Bombyx mori: one gene and its partner. The protein of the gene in region 2 binds, or shares a complex with, the protein of the main gene of each other region. Links are inferred from orthologs where the notes say so. Each region holds a gene or a part of one and is shown on either strand. Other genes may lie near its edges. The genes, in order: DNA-directed RNA polymerase III subunit RPC7-like and DNA-directed RNA polymerase III subunit RPC2.

Region 1 (12,729 bases), on a different chromosome or scaffold from region 2:
TAAATAATTTATGAACCATAACCACTTTGAGATGTTCGAGGCTGTAAAAGAATGTGTCGGCTCTAATTAATAATTACTAAATTCAATCTCAAAACTATTTTTAACCATATCTATACTGTTCTTGACAATATATGGTACTGTTTGACTGACGGCAATCAATTTATGTAGAAATTGCGAAACAATCTCATTTTAGTCGCCTTTTTTATTGCCTTGATGAGTGGACATGCTCACGGCCCACCTGGTGTTAAGTGGTTACCGGAGCCCATAGGCATCAACAACGTAAAGCCGCCACCCACCTTGAGATATGAATTGTATATCTCGGTTTTATAGTACAGTGGCTGCCCCATCCTTCAAACCGACACGCATTACTGCTCACTGCAGAAATAGGCAGGGTGGTGGGTCGTCGTTTCATTTTTATTACACGATGTTATTCCTTCACTGTGGAAATCAATCGTGAACATTTGTTGAGTACGTATTTCATTAGAAAAATTGGTACCCGCCTGAGATTCGAACACCGGTGCATCGCTCAACACGAATGCACCGGACGTCTTATCTGTTAGGCCACGACGACTTCAAAACTTTTTTTCAGGTTAAAGAAAATGCGGCTTGGGCAGTAGGTTACATTGGAAAGCACAGTGAGCAATTGGCCGGTTTGGTTGTAGATGCAGGCACACTACCCTTGTTAGTACTCGCTTTCCAGGAGCCTGAGATAAGTTTAAAGCAGGTACCTACTTGTACGTAACATAAACCAACATTATTAATAATAGTTTGTGGGATAAGGATGACATGAGAATTTTATTAATAATTGAGATATACCTATCGATAGTCATGGCTAACATTTTGAATTTAATTAATTTTAAACCTTTTACTATACACTGCACTTCATAATAACTACTGTTGAAAATCTAGTAAAATAACAATTCAAACATAGAATTGTAATCATTTTATGTACAATTAATATACATCTTGAAGTGCCTGTGATTACGACCGAATTTCAATCATACGGCTGATATTAGCCTATAATTGGGCTGAACTCAGCTGAAGTTTCTCATTTAAAGTTTTATGTGAAAACCCTCTTAATTTTTTAATATAAGTTTATTTACTTCTGTATCCATCAGTGACTTCCTTTCGACGAAAGGCTTTCGTGACTTTTCATTAGTTATCATGATTTCTTTACATAATGTTGAATGAATTTTAGATTTCTGCAGGAGCCCTCGTAGACTTGGCTCAACATAAGCCGGAAGCAGTAGTCGATGCGGGAGCTATTTCTCATTTGGTACACGGACTAGAAAATCAGGATCCTAAGCTTAAGGTGTATTGTTATGTTATAATTGAGTTACGAATTAGACATAGTCCTCTGTACCCCTAAAATGGTCCGTAAAATGAAATCGCCGGTTTTAGCATTGAATTTTAATTTCAAAAGCAACCTCAGAAATAATCAATATGAACGTTTTAGTTTCTTATGTCCCCTTCAACTTCGTTTAATATTACTTAGGCATCTACAAATCACTGGATTAAAGTAGGTAGGTATATATTGATATATATGTATATTGATTGTATTATCAACAATCTAACGTTAAACTAAGAGTTCGCAATCTCCAATGCTACGAAATTATTCTATATGGCCATAATAATAGGTTAGGGTGAATTTTACTGCAAATTTCAAATTAAAAAAAAGATTAGAAAATATTGATAGTAGCTTGAAAAATCTATATAATATATAAAAATGAATTGCTGTTTGTTAGTCTCGCTAAAACTCGAGAGCGGCTGAACCCGTTTGGCTAATTTTGGTCTTGAATTATTTGTGGAAGTCCAGAGAAGGTTTAAAAGGTAGATAAATTTGAAAATGCTCGGAATGAAATAAAAAAAAACAATTTTGTTTTTCCTTTGATGTGTCCCCCGTCGGACGGATTCCTTTTGATTGTTTTAAGTTTATTTTATACAAAAGGTTAGGTATTTTATTTATCGATTGAGGCACTACGAAGTCTGCCGGGTCAGCTAGTGATGAATAAATAACAGACGTTTACTGAAATATTTGGGAATGCAGCGTAGTATACTATGCGCACTGAGTGCAGTGGCCAGCGCACGGTCTGAGCTGGCTGAAGCAGTAGTGGCTGGTGGTGCACTGCCCGCCGCCCTCTTGCACGCCGGCCATGACGCAGCGCCAGTCAGGCGTGCCGCAGCCTGTCTACTGAGGGACATTGTCAAGCATTCGGTCGATGTGAGAGTCTATATCTATATGTATATAAATGAATTGCTGTTCGTTAGTCGCTAAAACTCGAGAACGGCTGGACCGATTTGCTTAATTTTGGTCTTGAATTATTTGTGGAAGTTCAGAGGTTTAAAAGGTAGATAAACATGAAAATCGGACGTCGGACGGATTCCTTTTGTTTGTTTTAAGTTTATTTTATGCAAAAGTTTAGGTGTTTTATTTGTCGATTGAGGAACTACGAAGTCTGCCTTGCCGGTTCAGCTAGTGGTTTTATATAAATTTATTGCTAGGTAATCGTAATGCAGTGTTAATACCGATCCCACGTGAATTCGACGATTAAGTTATATTAGTAATTTATCAGGTTTTTTTTGCGATGAATTGATATCGGTAGAGTTTTAGTGTAAATAGCTTCTAAGGTAGGTTCCGAGCAGCGCATGATACTGTTGTGAACGAAATAATGTTTAAGAGCAACATGATCAGCGCGTATGAAGTGATCACAAATGTTATTCACGGAAAGAAGAGATTCGAAAGCAAACTATTTTACTTTAATTCCTATTTACTAAACTTGTTATTTGTTAAATAATTGGGTAAAAAAAACATAGCATTACGTTCGATTAGTCAGTTATTTGTTATAAAATCAAAACAGAAAGAAATAATCCATAATCTTACTAATACCTAACTATGAAATATTTGCAATTTATTTAGTTGGCTCAGCTAGTAGTGAACACTGGTGGATGTGGTCCTTTGGTCGAACTATTAAAAGAGAGTACGGGTGGATCAAGAGTCCCAGCTTGTATGGCACTAGGATTTATTGCAGGGCAATCAGATCAGCTCGCAATGGCAGTTATAGAATCGAAGGTGAATAAAGTTTACATTTGTGTTTGACACAACTCAATAAAATATTAATATTTATATTATACCTTTTATATATATTATACCTTTTAAACTTAATTTCACGTCTCCGGTCACCGGTCACGTCTGTTGAACCAACGACGCCAGGTGGGGGAGGAAAGTCCTCGAATGGAGGCCACGGATGGGTACCAGGAGCGTGGGGCGTCCTCCAACCAGGTGGACCGACGACTTAGTGCGCACAGCGGGAAGTCATTGGATGCGGAAGGCGGAGAACCGCATGCTGTGGAAGGCATTGGAGAAGGCCTATGTCTAGCAGTGGGCAGATAAAGGCTGATGATGATGATGATATTCAAAAATTATATTTTAAGGAAATAAAGATAATTTAAATTTAAAATGAAAATATTGAATCAAAATTAATAAAATTTATTCAAACATTGAGGGCGGCGCGATAAACAGGGCCTAGGGCGCCATCAAGCCTAAATCCGTCACGGCTTATACCTATGTCGATGCCATAAACATAACTTATTATATATATTTATGAGTGAAAACTGGTAATACTGAGACTATTAGTCAATTTATGAAACATTGAATTTAAAAAAAAATATGAAATAAATAATCTTATTAAGTTTTTTCACTACACTATTTAAGTTATCAATCATCACAAATTGTGACCTGTTGTGTTGCCTTTTCTGGTTTTATAAATAAAAAAAATGTATCTATCAATTTTAGGCCATTACACCACTTGTTGAAATTCTACAAAAGAAAGATGCAGAAGATGCAGAGTTGTGTGCAGCTACTTGGACATTAGGCCACATCGCAAAACACTCACCACAACACAGTCTGGCTGTTGCTGTGGCCAATGCTCTACCTAGACTGTTACAAGTTAGGTTGACCTCATTCTTACTTTAGATTAGTTTAGATGTAAAAGTATTTGTGGTTTAAAAATTAACAGCAAGCAGAATTAAAATTGACATAACGTTTTTTTTTTATTCGATGTACTAATTCTGATCACAATATTAAGCCAAAGTAATAAAATTACTATATTATTGTCATCAGTCTTTAATACTTGTCTGATACATGTGCAAATAGCACATTTATAATCTTTTCATTTATATACGTAGATAGATGTCAATATTTAAAGTATATTTAAATTATATTTAAATTAAACATCGTTAGTTTAATTTTACAGCTTTACACAAACCCAAAGTCTTCAGGAGAAGTACAAGCTCGGACATCATGTGCATTGAAACAGGCATTACAATGCTGTCTACATAGACCTGCATTAGAGACATTGTTACATTCTGCACCTGCTTGTATATTGAAATATGTACTAGCTCAGTATGCAAAGGTAATTATTCTAGTTAGGCAAATATAACAATAATACACTATTTCAAATGAAACAGTGCTCCAGTAATCAGTAATGATTGATTTTTCGATTGATTAACGATTGATTCGTTTAAATATGATGTAGCAGTTACTTAAGTAGTAAACTTCTTTCGCTGAAATATTCATTTATTTCTATTTTTTAAAGAGTTCTACCAGGCGGGACTGTTTTTCAAATTGCTAATAAAGAATATTTGAAAGTAAAAATTAAAAGTGAAAACTATTTGATTAACAGTTAATTGTAATTATTTTTAATATGCAAGATCAATCAGTTTCAACTGTGTAATATAAATTTGTATATATATATTTCCTAGTAAACAGGTCCATCATCCAAATTATCATCTTCTTCTTCATAATCTTCCCCGTTATCAAAATAGTTATTTGCATAGTCAGTACCATCATCTAGTTCGTATTCTTGCTCATGTTCATCTTCCAGCTCCTCTTCTTCATCTACGTTTTCGTTGTTTAATTCTTTTTTTTTGCCGTCTATCGCCTCATCTGTTTCCAGAGTCTCTTTTTTTTCAAGCGTTTGTAATCTCTTTGCTATCTCTTCGGGATCATCGAGTTTTCTTTTCCTCGGAACAGTACGCGGACGTTTTGCTTGAGGCCGTAATTCGGTAGGCATGTTAACCCACACGCAATCCAATAACTTATTCTGCTTCGCATCAAGTGCTAACATTTTGTACTTATCAGAATATCGCTCTACACCGTCAGTCTCTGTTTTGACTTTAACAAATGCCGGTGATTCGTGTAGATATTCAATGAACTGATCTTTGACAATGAGCATATAGTCAGTGGCGGCATCACATATAAGAGGTAGTGGTTTTTTCTCAAGTTTTGGAAACAGTGGTGGCGGCACAAGTGTTGGAGGAGCATTGTCGCCGCGTGTCACACCTAAGGCTTGTATTTGCTCAGTAGTTAATGATAAACCGCTACCCCCGCGTCCTCGTCCTCTACCTGCCATTGTAACTGTAATCGATTTTTTGATCAGAAAACAATTTGGTGATAGTTAATCTATTTAAATTTGAAACTCCAGATGGTATCTACCTATCTCAAATATATTAAGTGTATAATCTATGGTATCTACGTACCCTACTCATTTGTTATTGTTTTGAATCGGATGTTTTTTCGTTTAATTCTTTCATAAATCAGGTAATAGAGACGTAGCTCATACAGCCAACGTTAAAAAAAATCGTGGCTTTATTTATTTTTCAAAACGTAAAATGCAGCAGTATGAGAATTATTGATAATTTGAAATTGACTATGGCGTGAAATAAGAATAAACTAGAGATGACATGAAATAAGCCTATGTATATTGCCTTCATCATTTGAAGAACGTGAACCAATTACCGTAGTAATTCGTAATGAGGTTCATCATTTATTAGAACAAAATATACGTGCGAATCATTCTCTTGCAGGCTAAATCCAAGAAATGTGTATGTTTTTCTTATTAGGGTCTTTTGCAAGTACCATTTAAATTTCATGGAGTTTCATAATTTCTGAAAAACTGTTCAGTTCAGAAATTATTATACAAATTATAATGAAAGTATAAGGAAGTAGATTATTTATGTTCGTTTTATTTTTTCAGATTCTACCCAACGATGCAAGAGCTAGAAGGCTTTTTGTTACAACAGGAGCATTGAAAAGAATACAAGAAATTGAAACAGTGCCCGGAACGTCCCTGAAGGAGTATATTAATATCATAAACAGTTGCTTCCCTGAAGAAATAGTAAGGTAAAAGACTACCTACTAAAAGAAAATTTGTCCTACTCAAATCTCAACTGTGGGCTTTTATACATTTTTCATTTTCAGATATTATACTCCCGGCTACACAGATTCTTTGCTGGATAGAGTTGAAGCGTATACACCACAAGTATGGAATAAACTCTTATGTATATATTTTCGATAGACACTTGTAGTTTTCATGTATTAACATGTAACTTTCTTTTGTTGAATAGATACCAGAACTTTTTACTGATCGGGTGCCGAGTGATTGCCAAAGCGAAATGAGTATAGAGAAAAGAAATTAGTTTATTTTTCTTATATGTTGTTAAATACAATTTATTAATACTGTTTCAATTTTCATTCTTTGTACATAGTCCAAACAATTTTTTGTAGTTGTACATTTCTTCCACCAATCTTAGATTCTTCTATTACCATTGATTGAGTCAATACTCTGTAACTGCAATAGGATTATGGTTAAATTTGTACACAGACCGATTTATCTGCGGTAAAAATCTTGCCCGATTTAGAGGGTATTATCCAATTCGCTACGAGTGTGTGCTTACAGTCAATTTAGCGTTAAGTAGTTACCTGAGCCCAAAGACATCACAACGTGAATATCACCACCCGGTCGGTGACAAAAGGTCTAAGGGCCCATTTTGGTACTGCTGGTCCACACTTCAAACTAGAATGCAGGACAGCTACGCGATAGAAACACTCAGAATGCGATTGTACATTACGTCAATATAAACCAATTTATATCAATTACCAATCGCAATACGGTTGTTTAACACTCAGAGAACGCTGTTTTCCAATATTTTTAACTTATTTTGTAAAGTTATGGATAGTGTCTAAAATAGAAGCGTAGGTATCTAAATGTTTCTTCAGTCGGCTACGTTAGACGCGCCAATATATAGACGAGCAGATTCATGTATCTCGCGATGACGAGAATTTATATTATAATTATAAATTATAGCATTATCTTTAAAAATCGGAACCCGTTTCGACAGTAGGGATTACTTTCTCTCCAAACGTTTCTTGCGTCACTACCCCTATTTTACTTTGGTAAGAATAATAGATCTGCATGGCTATCAGTGTTCTATTTTTTTAACTATAAATATATAATAGGTACACATATATGAAATATTAGTTGACCCAGCAAAGGTTGTTTTGCCATTAAATTTTTGGGTTTTTAGGAAAGAGAAATAACCTAGATACCGACTGCAGCGCCATCTGCGGGGTTGATTTGTGAATCTAAACCATCCAGGGCGCCACCCAAACGAATAGAAATTCATTCAAATCGGTCCAGGCGGAGTTCAGTGACATACACACGTACAGTAGAATTATATATAGGTAAAGATAGTTATAATTACGAGCGTGAATTTAGTAAATATAAATATTTTATTTAGACCTACAAACTTGAAGAAAAAAAAAGAATTCTTAAGCTCTTAAATTGGAACTAGATATTTCACACTGCATCGCATCCTTGTTATCTTATACCATCAGACTTTTTAGTCTCAAGGAGATGGTATAAGATAAGATAATAAACTTTTTTAAGCTACCTTTGACGAAGTTACTTCAAGATGTGTTCCTTATAGTTTATATATACTCACTTAAAGTCATTTTCAGCCAACAGATTTAACATGCGTACACCCAACGCTTCGATCTCGTGAAAATTCTGGTTTTGAAGGAATTTTATGTCATGTCGTATTAAATTCGTCTTTAGTAATTCTAATTCATTTGCATTTAAACCCTGTGATTTACAAAAAGAGAAAACGAATTATTGTGGAAGCTATTGGCCATTACACACAATCGCCAGGGAGGAATTTAAACTGGCTACATACTTGTAAGCATTTTAAATAGCACTATTGCAGACCTATAAGAGGCAGGTACGTTATTATAAGTCGCAATAAAGAATTGACGCATGTGATGTATTATTAATTGGATGAGAAAAACTATTAGTACTTTTAGATTTACATAAAACAATAATTTTAGTTTGATATATACAATTACTCGACTCGACAGACGTTCTCCTGTGGTGCACATGTCTTAAAATAGAAAATTTCACTTTTTTGAATAATTTGGACTGGTGATGAAAATATTTATTACCTATAATAAGGTAGGTATACTTAAATGCACTTGAACACATATACTTTGTTGCTTATTGCCACTTTAGTCGAGAGGACATACGTATCTAATAGTATACTAGTGGTTACAAGCTACCTGAATTTTACAAGAAGTGTATCCAACAGTTTCTAGCTCAGTCAGTAATATGTAATGCATGTTTAAATGATGAAGGTATACTACCAAATGTCCACCACAAACTGAATAACTGTACATGATAATTGTGGACAGGAAACTAGCTGTTATCTTACTGTCGTTATCTACCGGTTATGGTAAGTCTTCAATACTAAAGTGATAAAATAATACAAGTCAATAAACAAGCTATATTTTTGTTTCACTTTGTACCTACTACTATGTGGAAAAAGTACACGGAAAAGATCAATAAGGATCAATAAGATCAAAAAGCGGAAGGGTGGGGTAGCCGTTGTAACTATACTGAGACCTTAGAACTTATATCTCAAGGTCGGTGGCGCATTTACGTTGTAGATGTCTATGGGCTCCAGTAACCACTTAATACCAGGTGGGCTGTGAGCTCGTCCACTCATCTAAGCAATAAAAAAAAAAAACCAATTTAAGTTTGATAATCAGCCAAATTTATTTTATGCCATCTTCAAAATACCGTGAAACCTGGCGACTTTGTCAAAGATTGTTAAATTTGCCATGACCCGACTTAAAAGGTACCTTTGTCAAAACTTTATGTTCTATAACATTTGCAATGAACTACTTTTGAACATTTGATTGGCGACATCTTGATTATTTTGATTTGACAACCCAGATTTGAAAGAATTGTCATTTTTGGCGGTTGCTAAATGCATCTGCTAAATTTGTGGTAACTACGTGCTCCGGAAGTTTAGTGTAAATAAATAAGTGGATTTTACTTTCTTAGTAGTGTTTTTTTCATCAAAGTTATGGTAATTTACGTTCTATAAAGCAATTTAGTCTTATTAAATCACTATTGGCAAAACCAAGCAAACAAGTTTTGCTGATGTGAATGAACTTTGCCATTTTTTTTTGGAGGCTAGGACTGTCGAAATATTATAATATCTACTTTTAATGTTTCTTCATTTCAGATCCAAATTATAATTTTATTATTTATATGAAATTTGTTAAGATTTATGGATGGATAGGTATGTGTTACTCTTTCAAGCAAAGACTACTGTAGGCTTAGTGCGAGTTTCAAAAATCGAATCGAATGACTCGCATCGAGTGTACGCTCTTCACGGTGAAACGTGCGGAGCTCTGAGTGCGAGTTACTCGATTTGCAGGACGTTTATTCATCTTGAGAAGCGATATTTTTTTCTTTTATATTGGTAGCACGCAAGGTTTTTTTTAAGGCGTTTAATTGAAATGCCAAGCTTTCTAACGATATTTATAATTAGTCGGGTAATGGGTAATGTACCTGTGCTTAGTGCGAGTTTTTTTAATTACTCAGTCGATGTTAATGTTATGTTTAATTTGTGTGAGGTTGTATCAGTGCCACCTAGTGGTAAGCTTATGAATCTCATTTTGTGGGAGAGAGAAGGTTTGTTTATGTTGCTGTCTCATGTATCGAATAGCTTTACCGAAGTGAGGCTCTCGATTATTGTATGTGCGAGTGCGAGTTGCAAATTAATGGATTTTGAGAGTATTTCTTCACTTTCAAGCAAGTTAAGTAGTCACTAAAAATTTTGCCGTGAAACCAATACAATATCAAGATTTTTTCTTTCGTTTTTATTAATAATGTTGTTTTTTAAGGTTTTATCTATTCTAATGGTTTATACACATATATTTTTTCGGTTAGAAAATTTTATAGACGTCTAGCTAGTTGTAAATACATATTAATTCTTTGCTATTTCATTTAATTCTTATTAAATCATTGCTTTTTTTTAAAGAGTTGTTTGATGAGAGAGAGAGAGTGAGAAAGAGTTTTTTCTTTTTTTTTATTGCTTAGATGGATGGACGAGCTCACAGCCCACCTGATGTTAAGTGGTTACTGGAGCCCATAGACATCTACAACGTAAATGCGCCACCCACCTCGAGATATAAGTTCTAAGGTCTCAGTATAGTTACAACGGCTACCCCACCCTTCGAACCGAAACGCATTACTGCTTCACGGCGGAAATAGGCGGGGTGATGGTACCTACCCGTGTGGACTCCCAAGAGGTCCTACCACCAGTGAAAGAGTATTCTTTATTGTACACAAAATGAATAAATATTGTGAAACATTCTTTCTTGGTCTTATCGCTAAGAGTGATCTCTTCCAGACAACCATTAGATGGGCAAGAATAATTTCGAAATGAATTCCAGATTTATATGTGTGTATATATTATAGAAATATATACACACGCGCACACACACACACACACGCGCGCGCAATATACATATTTACAGATACATACGTACAGATTTATATTTATAAATTATATAGAAATTTAAACAATGTAATAATAATTTTGCTTCTTTACACATTTATAAATAAGGATAGATGCTCGTAATAATTTTAGTATATTTGGGCCACCTAATGAAGATCATCAACACTATTACCGTAAATACAATCATTTTATAAACGTTCAACGGGTAAATGATTAAACCTATGTAAAACATAATTTCTTTAATTAAAAAAAGCTGAAATAATTACCTATTCCAAGATTAATTATGTTAAGTAGGTATGTCTAAATATGTCATTACAATTAAATAAATTCTATAATAAACTTCTAATTCTAATACTTCTATTAAAGTTACTAAAAAAATATGTTTATGCTGGGCAGTTTTCGTGTATTTTAAAGGTTACGCCATTACGGCAAAGTTTGTTTACGAAATTGCACCCTTAGAATGGAAGTGGTATAACTAAAAAAATTTAAGATTAGTTTTATATTTCAAAACCCTTATGTATTAAGTACTTATGTATTAAGTACTAAGAACCTACAATTTAAGTAGGTAATACGTGAAGCAAAAATGTTGTACTCCTTTTTACGAAAATTGCGCGGACGGAGAAGTATGAAAATTCCCACACTTATAGAGAATATAGAGAAGTAATGCAGATTGCTAATTTTTTTTTTTAATTGTGCATAAACAATAAAAAAATAAACTAAATGAATAAAAAAACCTTACACACATTACCATGTATTTGACACACACACACACACAAACATGCATTTATACTTTTTTTGTTTATTGATTTATCAATCTGTGGTCAAATTGAGAATAGATTAATATTTTTTGTCTTTAATATTATTTTTCTATAATGTAGCCTTGGCGACATAGAGCAATGATTATTATAGAAATGATGATAATAGAAAGGTGACAATAGAACTATAATAATGTTCAAACTTAAAATTTAAATAAATTATGGTCAAATTTCGACCACTGGACTACCATTAGTAGATAATAATAAAATCATTTATTGCCTTTCACACAGATTTAGATTATTACAGGCAGCCTACAAGGAAACAACAAAAAAACAAAACACTATTATATCATTTCTGGTAAGCAGCTCAACATTTGCACTTGTATATTATTAATAGGAATTTTATTAAGAATATTGACAATTTATCCCGATGATATGTAGGCGAAGTAAAATGTCCCTTAGAAATAAGGTGACACTCTACAAAACTTGCATACGCCCCGTCATGACCTATGCAAGTGTAGTGTTCGCTCACGCGGCCCGCATACACTTAAAATCATTCCAAGTCATTCAATCCCGTTTTTGCAGGATAGCCGTCGGAGCCCCGTGGTTCGTCAGGAATGTCGACCTCCATGACGACCTGGACTTAGTGTCCATCAGTAAGTATCTGCAGTCGGCGTCCATGCGCCACTTCGATAAAGCGGCACGACACGAGAACCCTCTCATCGTGGCCGCCGGTAACTACATTCCCGATCCTGCGGACAGAATGGAAAGCAGTCGACGTCGCCCAAAACACGTCATCTCAGATCCTCCCGATCCACTAACGGTGCTTTTAGGTACTTCAAGCACCGGTCACCGTTCTCGTCGAACCCGTCGCTTGCGACGAAGGGCTCGACGAGTAAATTAACTCTCAGACACAGCCCACTGAGTTTCTCGCCGGATCTTCTCAGTGGGTCGCGTTTCCGATCCGGTGGTAGATTCTGCGAAGCACGGCTCTTGCTAGGGTTCGTTTTAGCAACATCGTCAGGTTTGAGCCCCGTGAGCTCACCTACTAAAGTTAGGGTTACGCTGACATAGCCGCTAGGGCTATCAGCTTAGGTAGGAAAAAAAAAAAAAAAGACAATTTATGAGGAATTTGACAAGTACGGATTAGTTATAGATATATGTAGTTACATATTGTAAATTAAATTAGTTTTATATGTGCAATAAAAAATAATTTAAATGATAAAATGATAAAGCCATACCTTTTTCCAATGTGACGATTAGAGGGTATCCTATTATTCTTTTCTATATTATTCTATCAGCTTATTAAATTAAACAGTCTCTTTTAGTC
Region 2 (12,840 bases):
TCTTAACTGCATAACTGTATACTCTTCTTTAAACATGCAGCTGGTTGTAAGTATGTTGTTTATTTCAGATTTCCATCAAACAACCATCAAGATGAAAATCCAACACACACCCTCGATGCCAGCTTTACTCAGTTTATTGCCGAGAATTTTCCATCATACACTTGCATTTTTCAGTTGATTCTGCCAAGATTTATGAGATTGGATCTCACGACGTACAAAAATGCTGTGATGCTTTTTAGATTGGGAAAGGTAATATTCTGTTTTACTTACGTGCCTTTCGTTTGCATCATAAAGTATGATGATTTTTTTTTGTGCAGGTGTTTTCCCAACCGCATTTAGTACCAATTCTGTGGAACTTAGAACATGCAATTCTGGATAGTGGATCTGGAGTGACACACAGTTCAGACTTAAATTTTAGCAATTCAATGACTGATCAAAGGTGAACTATTGTTTTTAAACAGTTTGTTTCAGTGCCTAGATAGATGAAAGAGCTCAGGGCCCGTCTAGTGTTAATATAGTAATAATATAATAATCTAGTGTTAAAACATAGACATCATAATATGATTGACGCCACCTCCCTTGAGAAATGAGGTCGAAATCTTCAATTGGAATACGTCCGTCTGGTGTAGTGGTAAGTGACATGGTCACTACACCAGGGGGTCGCGGGTTCGAATCCCGCCAAGGGAAGATATTTGTATGATAAATATAAATGTAAATATATGTATGTGTATAATAAAAATCTTACATTTATTTCCGATATCTGGTACCTGTAACACAAGTTCTTTACGATCTTATCACGGGACCAGTTAACGTGGCGTGATTGTTAGTAAAATAATTATATTTATTTATTTATAATGTCAGCCCAACCATCAACGAAATGCTTATCCAATGTTGAATAACCACTTTGATTCTTTTTTTTTTTTTTATAAATTAATGACTTATACTTTATTAAGCAGTTATACTATACGAAATAATAAGATATAGACATACATATTTAAATATATACGAAAAAGGCCATATCATCAAAGAAATAGACCGTGCACTCGACAAGTAAAGAGAGTACATTAAAAGCCGATAACGTCCAGTGATTACGTATTTTGAATGCAGCAAATTCTCGCAACTCTTTTCAAGGTGTGTGGCGCATTTACGTTGTAGATGTCTATGGGCCCCAGTAACCACTTAACACCAGGTGGGCTGTGAGCTCGTCCACACATCTAAGCAATAAATAAAAAAAAAGAAAAAAAAAAGCTCTTTCTTAATTATAAAGATTCAACAACATCTTTTACAGTTATACATACAACGGAGTGTCGTTGCAAAAATGGGTAGCGATAGCGAAACAAGCAATATCAGAATTCAATATGCCTGAAAATTTCGAATATAAACCTATATGGAATGATAACATGCGATCTTTTGCTTTAGAATTTGTAAAGAAAATTATTTCTGCTAAAACTATAGCGGAAAAGAACGTTGAAGAATTTAGTAAAAAAATCGACATGAGCAATCAAGGTAAATAAACGTATGTATTTAGTTATTTATTACGTAAACGTTTGAAAAAGCTTACGGCCACCTAGTTTTAAGCGGTTACTGAATCTTATCGGATATCGGAAATGTAAATCCACTTAGAAACATGAGGTACAAATCACAATTTTACAGCAACGGCTATCCCATTTACGCCGGAACGCATGACTGCTTCGTGGTAGGAAATATGCCTACTATAGGCGGTGGTAACTACCCTAGCAGGCTCCCAAGTCGTGCTGCCACTAGTAATTATGCAAATTATATTTTCTATTACACTTGATCATGTGAACGATTCAATGATATTATGCTATAGATGAGCAGATAATAAATAGTTAATTATTACACAGTTTCAACTATGTTTTAGGATTTTGGTCATCTTTAATGCACTGGCTAATGATAGCCACTCAGGATGAAAGTGATGGACATCTAGAAGAAGTAAAAAAAGTGCCAACTTATTTAAATACATCTATACACAATTTTGCAGTTATATTTGGTGTAAGCATTTATATATTGTCATTTAGCTAACAATACCGCACCGAACTGCAGCTCAGTAATCTTTGCCAGAGTCATAATTTTTAATCTATACTTAATATTAAAAAAAGGAAAGATTTGTTTGTTTGTTTGTATTGAATAGGCTCCGAAACTACTGAACCGATTTGAAAAATTCTTTCACTGTTTGGAAGCTACACTATTTCCGAGTGACATAGCCTATAATATTTTTTTATAATATTTACAAAAAGTGTCGCGACAGCAGATGTCTAACTATTATAGTTATTTATTTAAAAAAAAAAAACAGCGTCAAAAAGACCCGAGCGAAGCCGGAGCGGGCTGCTTGTATATATATAAGAAGGAAGTTTTATGAGCGTGTGTGTATACCTAGCTATTTTAATTTTTCAGTTAAGTGAAGCACTACTACTCCCTTCAGAACCAATTGCGGATGACAGTTTAGAAAACTCATCATTTGTAAATTCAACTGCTTTTCCATTTTCTATAACAAACAAGGTAAATATTGACAGAAATGATATCCAATTAAAAAAATAAAAGAAGAGTATACTAAAGTATATATACTATTTTACAGCTGAGAAGTAAATCAACAAATGTACATTATATGGGTAATCCAGACCTCATGCCTATAGCATCCTATGAAAGTACAATTTTAGTCAGAATACTGCATCAAATTTCAACTAAAATAAATGAATTGGTGAGTTATGTCAATAGATTAACATTCTAGTTAAGCATAAATTAGCAAAGACAAAACAGTTTATCACCTTTCTTCTGTTTGTTTGCTGATTTGTTTGTGTTAGTAACTGTTTGGAGCTTTTTACCACTAATCGTTTTAAGCTTTTTACTGTTACGTACCCATGTCTCTATATAAAAGTATTCATTAGAAGAAATGTGATTCATAGAAATTCAGTCTTGATTTAATACATTAATATGTGAGGCATGCAAATTGTGTTCTTGATGGACTTCGCTTCACGTGGGTCTTAAAATGGGCTTGCTCGCTTATCCACACAGTTAAATAAACAAACCTTTATTTATTTAATGATTTATATTTTAGTATGAACCAACGTTCACAAACCTGTGGAATCGACAAGACATTTGGGGTTACGCGGCTCGGGAAGTACTACAGAAGCCATGTACGATCCAAACGTATGTTAAAGACATAACAAACCACTATCGTGTTATTCGGCAAGATCTACCCCCAAGGTTACTGTTAAGACGACTTGGCTCACAGGCGTTCATTTTCTGGATAACTGTTGGCTATTTAATTATGAGATTGTTTTCTTTCAGTGGCCTTAGTTACATATTAATATTGTTTTCTTTATGGTTGTCGTATGTATTTATCAAGGGAAGTTTCAAGATGTTAAAAGTAATACGAATAAATTAAGATTAATATTTTTTATATTAAAAACCTTTTTGAACCTGCTCTTTATTTATTTAAACCGTAACAATAATGGATCACAGTAATTTATTTAGACTTTGCAAAAAAAAAATGCCCTAGATTGGTGAACGAGTTCACTATAGATCATATAAGTAGTTGATATATGAGGAGCTCACTTCTATCATGTTATGAACTTATAATTTTATAATCTATGTATAATTGTTCTCTAGATTACTTATGCTATTGCAATTTCGTTATCCCCGACGTTTTGAATAACGAAATTAAAATGACTACTTCGCGGCAGAAGTATGCAAGGGTTTTTTTTTACATACAGAATGACCATTAACACTAATCATACCAACACTTACTGGTACCTATTTCAACCGTAGCGGGTAGAAAAATCGTCGATAAAATTAAAACTATTTTCAGAATCATTACCTATTTATTGTCTGTTAGGAATATTTCTTTAGGGTAAGCTTAGGTACGATATTCATTGAAGCTAGTTCTTGAAATAACAATTTGCAAGCGTACGGCATTTCGACACTGGAAACCGCAGCCGATGACCGGCAAGTGTGACACCAGGCGCGGTTCGCGAGCCGCCCGCACGCGCCGCATATGTCCGCGGTGAACGCGTCCGAGGCCAGCATTAGCCGCTCCATGATCAACATGCTGGCGGAATACATTTCAAGTTAATAATTTGTAAAAGTTTCATAACATATCACAACTTTAGAATTGAAGTGGTTTTACTAAAAATTTTAAGATATTTTGAATGACTTTTAAACATGTATCCTTATCTATACTTCTATATTAATATATAAATCTACAGTGGTTTTTACGGATGTTCCGTTATAACTACTGAACCATGCATCCGATTGACTTGAAACTTGGTATCCATGTAGAAAATACATGTACTTGATGAATAGGCTAATATTTATATGAGTGTTGGACTCCCTACACCAGTTGCGGGGGCGTTAATGGTGAGAATCTTTATGGGGGTGAGAAAAAATAATGTTAAATTTAAATGCCCAGCGACGCGGACAGGTACAGCTAGTCAGTTTATAAAATTAAACAATCTCTTTTAGTGTAGAAAAGGACAAGGTACGCTTTCTGTCTCTTTTGAATCACGCGAATAGGTACCTTAAACTTTACGGTATGTGCTTTAAGGCGTAAAGTATTAAAATCGAAACTAAAAAACTATAATTCTTCAATTACATTTTTGTCGTTTACCAAAAAAACAAGAATTTTGGATTAAACCATTTCAATTCTAAAGGTGCCATATAATTAAATCGCGGTACAAACTAACTAGGTTATTCATATTACATAAATCTGTATGGCTTTTTTTTTTCTTTTTTTTTTACTTTCTTTTTTTCCCACCTATGCTGATAGCAGAGGCTACTTCAGGTTTACCCTGACGTGTAGGTGAGCTCACGGGGCTCAAACCGGAAGTGTTGTTAACACTGACCCTGGCAAGAGCAGTGCTTCGCAGAATCTACCACCGGATCGGAAACGCGACCCACTGAGAAGATCCGGCGAGAAACTCAGGGGACATATGGAGTTCAAATTCGTCATTACTTATACTTACATATACAAATATTAGTGTTTACCTGGCGCCATATCCAATAAGACAATCTCGTTCCATCTCGCCCAGCCGAAGTCCTCCGTCGCGAGAGCGTCCTTCAGTCGGTTGACGAGTCAGAACCGCCCTAGGTCCGCGTGCTCGGGCGTGCATTTTGTCTTGAACCATATGCTTTAACTTCTGGTAGTATACCTGTTTGAAAATTAAATGTCTGCAGTTGTTGTCTTGTTCCTTAAATAACTGAGATTAGAAATACTCACAGGACCAGAATAAATATAAGCTTCTAAAGGCTCTCCAGTTAATCCCGAATAAAATATATCTTTTCCGTGATAATTGTAACCATGTTTTTCTAATTCTTTGCAAACGTCCTGTACTTTGGAACCTCCGAACGCAGTACCTAAAATGGACATTTTACTTATTTTTCATTTAAAACTAAGACACCACGCTTCGCTGTGACTAATGTTAAATAGACGAAATACACAGACTAATTGAAATGACTCGAGTGTCACCTTTTTTTCTTTAATAAATACGGACACCTTTTCAGGTATTTTTTAGCTTAGATGGTTGGACGAGCTCACGGCCTGGTGTTAAGTGGTAACCGGAGCCCATATACATCTACAACGTAAATGCCGCCACCCACCTCGAGATATATGTTGTAAGATCGCAGTTTTAACATTACGACGGCTTTCCCACCTTTCAAACCGAAACGCAGTAGGTACTGCTTCACAGCAGAAATAGGTAGGGTGGCGGTACATAACAGCTTCACGAATGAATTTCTTCATCCCATAATATCGTATAATAAGAATCTATGCTATCAAATTTATAAATTTCCGTAATTCAAACGATACGTTAAGATACATAAATAATAATATATCCTTGTAACCTATATACATACCATAATGGAATTTTCCTTCTAATAATCCCGCTTTTCCAGCTAAGAGCTCAATGGTTTTTCCCACTGTCATTCTAGATGGGAAGCCGTGGGGATTCATGATCATGTCAGGACATATTCCTCTGTCATTAAAAGGCATATCTTCTTGTTGCACAATCAAGCCAGTTACACCTTTCTGACCGTGTCTAGAACTAAACTTGTCACCGATCTCTGGAACTCTGGTTTGCCTTAATAAGATTTTTATCAAGAAAGCATCTTCGGAGTTTGAAGATACCATAACCTTTTCGATGTATGACTCAACTGGCCCTTTGTATGTAACTGGTACATCTTTGTATTCAATTTGTTGCGGTTGTCCTTGAGTGACGGGATTTATCGTAGCCGGCGGCATCTGTTTGTTTATTAAAACTTGCCTATTTTCAACCATTTCACCTGGAGCTGCAATGCCGTCAGAATCCAAAACATCATGAGTTCTAATTACTTTTCCTGTAACTGCATCTCTCGAAGGTCCCAAAATTCGGTCCGATGTTTGATTGCTGTACCGCTTCATTGTTGTTTTCGCACTTTTATAAACTAGACAACGTCCATATCCTCTGTCAATCGAAGCTTTGTTTAGAATCAAAGCGTCTTCTATATCATATCCACTGTAGCTCATTACAGCGACAGTAGCGTTCTGACCAGCTGGCAGTTTATCAAAATTTATCAACTCAATAGTTTTAGACTTCACCATTGGACATTGAGGATAAACAAGGTTATACATTAGAGTATCGATTCTGTTTTTTTGATTGTACCCTATGGTTCCTAAAAGATTAAATAATTAATTCTGTGAATAAACTTTAATTATAAATGATGTAATTTCCAAAATATTTCAGACTTACCCATTGCTTGTTTACCCATAGCACATTGATATGTGTTCCTAGGGCTCTGGTTGTGATGTGGATATGGTACTAAGCCTGCGCACACACCTAATATCGTAAAAGGTTCTATTTCTAGATGAGTAGTGACGTACGGATCAATATCTACTTCACGTGTTGCTATATGACTGTCATTTTCTTCATTTACATCCAAATATTCTATAAGACCATCATTTAAGAAATCTTGGAATTTTCTTATACCTCTATTTAATTCATTTAAATGAGATTGCTGCACTAAGGTATTTCCTCTTTCTACGATTATGTACGGTCGACAGAGCCTGCCGCCGTCACTGCAGATATAAACGGTTCTTTGGTTATGATTGGGATATATGGAGACAAAAGCTGAAATCAATCCTCTTCTCCTGAACATTCTAAAAACTTTAATCAGCCGCTTATACTGTCGAGAAACGCCCAGTATGTTACCTGTAACGGAAACAAACTATAAGTACAGATAACATTTTAATGAGTTTTTTTTTTAAATGTTTTTCAAATACCATTAAGAAAGACAATGTAAACAGCAGGATGATTTATTTCTTCTCCGCCTAGCAGCCTTACGTCTTCAACTCCAGCATTACAGGCCAACTTAGCAATAGGCTCTTCAGAACACTCTGTTGTAATATGCGTCATAAGTGCTAAATTCTTAACAAGACCGCATGCTTCTCCTTCAGGAGTGTCGGAAGGACACAGCATACCCCACTGTGAGGCCTGTAATGACCGTGGTCCAGACACTTTTCTGGTCTTCTCGAATTGGGAATTTACTCTTGTCATCATACCAAGTGCTGATATATAACTGAGGCGACTTAATACTTGTGTGACCCCGTGCCTTTCCATTTTAAAGCGCTTAATTGTCCAATTGCCCTAAAATATTATATCTTATTAGCATGGTATAATGAGTAATTAATGCCCATAAGAAATCGATAAACTGTACTAACACTAGAGATGGCTGTAAACAGTCCATTAGCAATCAAATCCGGTCTCATATGCTTCACAACATCAAAGGGGGCAGCTTTAACTTTAGGTATTATTTTATCGGCTATACTCTTCAATTCCCAGTTGAATCTTTTGAATAAATCTTCAAACATAAGTGCCAATAAAGACCCCGCCAATTCAAGCCTTTTGTTCCCATAGTAATCTGGATCGTCTATTGCAGTTTTATTTGTTTCGGCTTCAATTACCCTTTTCACCATTATCGCAAGGTAAATGGCCTTTACGTAGAAATTGTAATTCTCAACCGATACGTGAGCTAATATAGTCGTAGCTAATAGTTCACGAGCGTCATCAATTGGTGAGCGTACTTTTGTGTTTCCACCTTGATACCTTTACATTTAAAACAAAAATAGATTTTAATAGGTACTGTATGGAAAATGTGGAAGCATTTAAATATATGTAATGGCAATGGTTAAGGTTTAAATGTACGTTTATTTTTTAACTATAAGCATATTAGATCTATCAAACGGTATTTTTATATGAATGCTCGCAAGGGATGGAAGACTGTAAGTACACTTTCACTGCTGAATTGGATTTATTTCAACTTCTCCCGCGTTCTATATAGATATCTTTTTCCAGGCCCAATTTGTCATATACTGGACTACTTTCCTTGGACATATTTTCTCTATCTCCTCAGCACAAAGAGCGTACTTTATCACAATTTAGCATAGATTTTTAACGAAATTAAATTATGAACGCGTTCAATATATTATTAGTCGCGAACATTTAAAACAATTAGTAACTATTAAGTAATTTGATTACAAAAAAAGCTTACAGAAACAGCGGGGTAGTAAAATATTTTTATTTATATATGCACTAAACAGTGATAAATTAGATGTAAAATGAAACCTTACCTTTTTACTTTTAGTTTACTTCCTATATAAGTCAGAGCTTGATTTTGAGTAAATATTTTCAAATTATGGCAATCTAGAATACAAGGTGCCATTTTTTTTATTGTATTATCGTCAGTACCTACAAGCTGCATTATTTCTTGATCACTACATATGCCCATGGCTTTAAAGGCGACAGCTATTGGAATATCCTGAATATAAAAAAATACAAATTAGTGGAAACTACATAATTGGAAATTATTTATTTTAGCTTTTGAAATAGCTTTTGTAATTTTGAAGGGAAGAAGTCCAATTCAAAACATATTATGGTTTTATTTTTATTTTTTATTGCTTAGATGTGTGGACGAGCTCACAGCCCACCTGGTGTTAAGTGGTTACTGGAGCCCATAGACATCTACAAGGTAAATGCTCCACACACCTTGAGATATAGTTCTAAGATCTCAGTATAGTCACAACGGCTGCCCAACCCTTCAAACCGAAACGCATTACTGCTTCACGGCAGAAATAGGCAGGGTGGTGGTACCTACCCGTGCGGACTCACAAGAGGTCCTACCACCAGTAAAAAATACATATATAGCTTTGATTATTGTTTGTTAAATGAAATTGATTTAAGTAGTAACATACATCAGACAATGCATTATGTCTGAGCACATATTTTCCATGTTTAAGAATCACATTCGTTCTAGTTTTCTTCTCATGTGTGGAACTTGTAACCTGACATTGTACTGCTCCTTTGAATTCATCAACAATCATTCGATTTCTAGAGAGTTGCTCTTGAATTAAAATCACCTTTTCTTGACCTACAGACAATAAAAATTGTTTTTCATTACTCAAGTAAACTACATATATATGTACTTATACAGGTGTCCTGAAACTCAAGGTCAAGCGGGTACGGGGCTAGGTACTACTCGTGCAGGGAAAAATAAAAACAAAAATACATTTCATTTTAAAAACCATACATCCATTGAACTTCTATTAAAGGGGCTGCATAAATGAAAAAGCGTACATGAAGCCAATATAAAACTAACTGAATTCACTCCATGTAACTGTATGCAATAGTGATCGAATAATAAAATATTGTCACTCTTGAAATCAAAACCAATAGTGTTCGGATCCCAAAACTGTTTTCTTTTTTTTTTAGAAATTTAGATAAATTTTAGCATATTTTTTGGCTATGCTACTCAATCAGATCATCTCTTTGAACGTTCAAACGCAGTTATTTTTACAGTATCGTTAAAATGATAATTTGAATTTGATTGTCTTTAACTTTGTTTTAGAGCACTGTTAATAAATGTGTTTCATTAAAACCATATTATTTTGTCTAGAAACCTAGCTCATAACTGTATATTCACAGAGAACTCAGTATTTCATTCATTTAGACCACAAAAAAAAACCCAAATGTAGTGTGAAATGCAACCTTAATGTGGTCAATGTTAGGTTATTATGCTTTAAGTCTTGCCAAATTTTTTATTCTATGTATTTTTAACTTAAAGTTTTTCTTTATATTTATTTATTATATTTCTTTATATTATATTTATTTAAATTTTCGTTTATTTTTATTCTGACTAAATATAAGGCTCCCAATGTACTTTACTCCAGATTAACAAATTAATAAAATTTAACTTTATGATTACAATTATTACACATTTAAATATTTTATGTACATTTTACATTTATATACATTGGAGTTTTTTTTTAATATTAGTTGTATAAAATTAAATTGGTTTCTTACCTCTTATAATAAAATAGCCTCCAGGATCATGGGGACACTCATTTAACTGTGCAAGCTCAAAATCCGATTTATTAGTAAGAACGCAGTTTGAAGACCTAAGCATGAGGGGCATTCTGTAAAGAATCAAAATACAGATTTCAAAATGATATATGAGAGTGATGTTAATAATAGGTATATAATTTAATTACATTTCAAATGGCCAGTATTGTTAAACTTCATAAGCAAAGACCTAATGTTAAAGTAATTAAAGGAATCATTAACATGTTAAAAATTTGTGATACTATTACTTTGATATTGACACAAAAACTGTTTTTACTTTGACTACTTTATTAATACTTTGACAGACATGTGTCGTGAAGATAGGTAAAAGGCAGATGATGAACTACTTAAATTCCTACATCATCAATAGTTGCAGCCCATAAGTCAATCAATTTTTAACTGAGTTACATTGGGTGGGGTGGACAAACAATAAAACATAATTTCTCTGTCGAGCTTTTCATTGAATTGTTTTTAAGATAGGATATTTTCAATTGGGAGTACAGAATGTTAAATTCATTTGATATGTATAATACAGAATTTTTTAAAGCCTGGAATGTTCTGCTTTTTAGTGAGTAAGATCAAGATATAGTAATAGATCAAGCAACATTACATCTGCTAGTATTAGAATATGCATTTCTTCATTTATTTAAGATGTTACCTTCCAATCAGTTGTTTATTTTTGATCACCCTCTGGTTTCCTCTAATATATTCTATATCAACAGTTATAGGAGCTGAGTATGTTATATCTCTAAGACGACATTCATGAGGTGTCGTTGGCTTAGTGATATTGAACCCTTCTTCCAAGTCAGGTGTACCAACATAGGCATTTAAATATTTAATATAGAACAGTGGATCAGATTCACAAAATACTTTTTCATTAGCCTGTACTATCTTCTTTATCTCCACATTTATGAAGTAATTAAATGAATCTATGTGCTGTTTCACCAAACCTTTAACTTGAAGAAATGAAGGCACTAATTTCCATTTATCCTGAAAGAAAACATTCATATGAACAGTGTTAAGCTGAAATATTAGAAATTTAAGATAAAATCAGGACGTCAGTAAATTGTACTATTTTTTTCTAAGATTTTTATGATGTTATTCTATAAAATTCATACATTTTATTATTCAAATAATTATGATCATACTTTGGTAGGGTTTTGAACTCAACTGTATATTGTCACTTACAACTTTTGTTACTATACAATTGAACTTTGGAGTGATTAAATATCAATGAATGAACAAAATCTTAAAGACAGTTATATGATTTTGTTGTTTGGTTAGTAGTAATATTATAGTTCGTGTATTTTTTTTTCAATTGTGTATCAAAACAATAGTAGTAATTCAGAAAAGTAATAAAGCTAGTACCTCAAGGGTTTTGACAGGGTCCCGTAATCCTTTGGTATCCCACTCATTTTGTTTTTTATTAAGTTCGCCCATCATGTAAATTAAATAAGCTATTGTAATATTGAACTATCTTCGGCAGTAAATCATATTGTCCGTATTTACCAAGCGATGGAATCTTGGAATTGTTTTATAGAATGGAACAAATCAGATGAGTACATATGTAAACAATAAGTGCAATTTTTAACAACGAACAAACACGAGCACAATTCTGCACATTTAATTACAAACTTTAAACTCATAGATATTTTTTTGGTACAATTTTTCCTTTAAGAAAGGCAAGGGGATCTAAGCCCATACAGCGTGCCCATAAATAATTTTTAAATCCATCTATACTTTTTTTAAGGGATTTTATGACCTGGTAACTAAAACCAAGTCAAGGTCAAGTCTTATTTTAATTTTAATGAAAAGTTTTTTTAGGTAAATGAAAAATAATATTATGAAATGAAATAAAGTCGATTAATATAAAACATGGCATGAAATGAAATGAAATTAAAACGAAATAAAATGAGATGAGGTGATATGGGATGAAATATAATCTCAGTAAAACGGTGGTCATTTACTGAGACTTTTTCAGTGGATTTTCGAGGATCCCGAGAAGTTACGTTCAGCAGCTTTGTTTCATTTTCCCACATTTATGCACTTTCACAGATAATAGACAGTTAATAAACCACCGATTACCTATTTAAAGCGCCTTATTCACGATCCATCTTGCTGTACGTCCCGCCAAGGCCATGCACGATGCACGATGCAAAAGGATCATGAATAGGCTTGACGTACGTCGATAATTATTATTAATTGCGGCCTTGAGCTGACGTACAGTCGTGATGGATCGTGAATAAGGCGCTTAAACCTGAAGAAACTCTAAATAAACAAAAAAAAAAGGGTGCGTGTACTTATGTACGCGCGTAAGAAGTTAAACTTTATTTTTATTAAAGAACATCCTCAAACACGCATATTGGACATCCCTTTTCTTGACATCGTATAAATTCGGTAATTCTCGGTACGGTTCGGACAATACACGACGACCTGGGCCTTGAATCAATCC

What was found.
Region 1: DNA-directed RNA polymerase III subunit RPC2 (region 2) and DNA-directed RNA polymerase III subunit RPC7-like share a complex: the UniProt entries of both Homo sapiens proteins name them as parts of the RNA polymerase III (Pol III) complex. The link is inferred for Bombyx mori from reciprocal best matches to the Homo sapiens genes POLR3B and POLR3GL.

Annotation. Positions count from the first base shown.
Region 1 is NC_085117.1:13,523,089-13,535,817, reverse strand, and holds DNA-directed RNA polymerase III subunit RPC7-like, read right to left. Parts: upstream 5,693-12,729; 5' UTR 5,539-5,692; exon of another isoform or gene 5,417-5,538; 5' UTR 5,412-5,416; coding exon 4,758-5,411; 3' UTR 4,671-4,757; downstream 1-4,670. Other genes in the region: sperm-associated antigen 6, read left to right, coding at 590-724, 1,199-1,312, 2,048-2,221, 2,918-3,070, 3,794-3,946, 4,254-4,412, 6,036-6,181, 6,260-6,320 and 1 more; uncharacterized protein LOC105842656, read right to left, coding at 6,530-6,629, 7,783-7,922, 8,393-8,509. UniProt on the Homo sapiens protein: DNA-dependent RNA polymerase catalyzes the transcription of DNA into RNA using the four ribonucleoside triphosphates as substrates. Specific peripheric component of RNA polymerase III which synthesizes small RNAs, such as 5S rRNA and tRNAs.
Region 2 is NC_085116.1:7,720,761-7,733,600, reverse strand, and holds DNA-directed RNA polymerase III subunit RPC2, read right to left. Parts: upstream 12,059-12,840; 5' UTR 11,832-12,058; coding exon 11,757-11,831; intron 11,379-11,756; coding exon 11,047-11,378; intron 10,463-11,046; coding exon 10,350-10,462; intron 9,418-10,349; coding exon 9,242-9,417; intron 8,809-9,241; coding exon 8,621-8,808; intron 8,097-8,620; coding exon 7,712-8,096; intron 7,638-7,711; coding exon 7,274-7,637; intron 7,203-7,273; coding exon 6,744-7,202; intron 6,667-6,743; coding exon 5,872-6,666; intron 5,374-5,871; coding exon 5,237-5,373; intron 5,169-5,236; coding exon 5,005-5,168; intron 4,070-5,004; coding exon 3,853-4,069; 3' UTR 3,823-3,852; downstream 1-3,822. Other genes in the region: sphingomyelin phosphodiesterase 4, read left to right, coding at 69-249, 318-439, 1,289-1,506, 1,883-2,013, 2,416-2,520, 2,597-2,719, 3,077-3,406. UniProt on the Homo sapiens protein: Catalytic core component of RNA polymerase III (Pol III), a DNA-dependent RNA polymerase which synthesizes small non-coding RNAs using the four ribonucleoside triphosphates as substrates.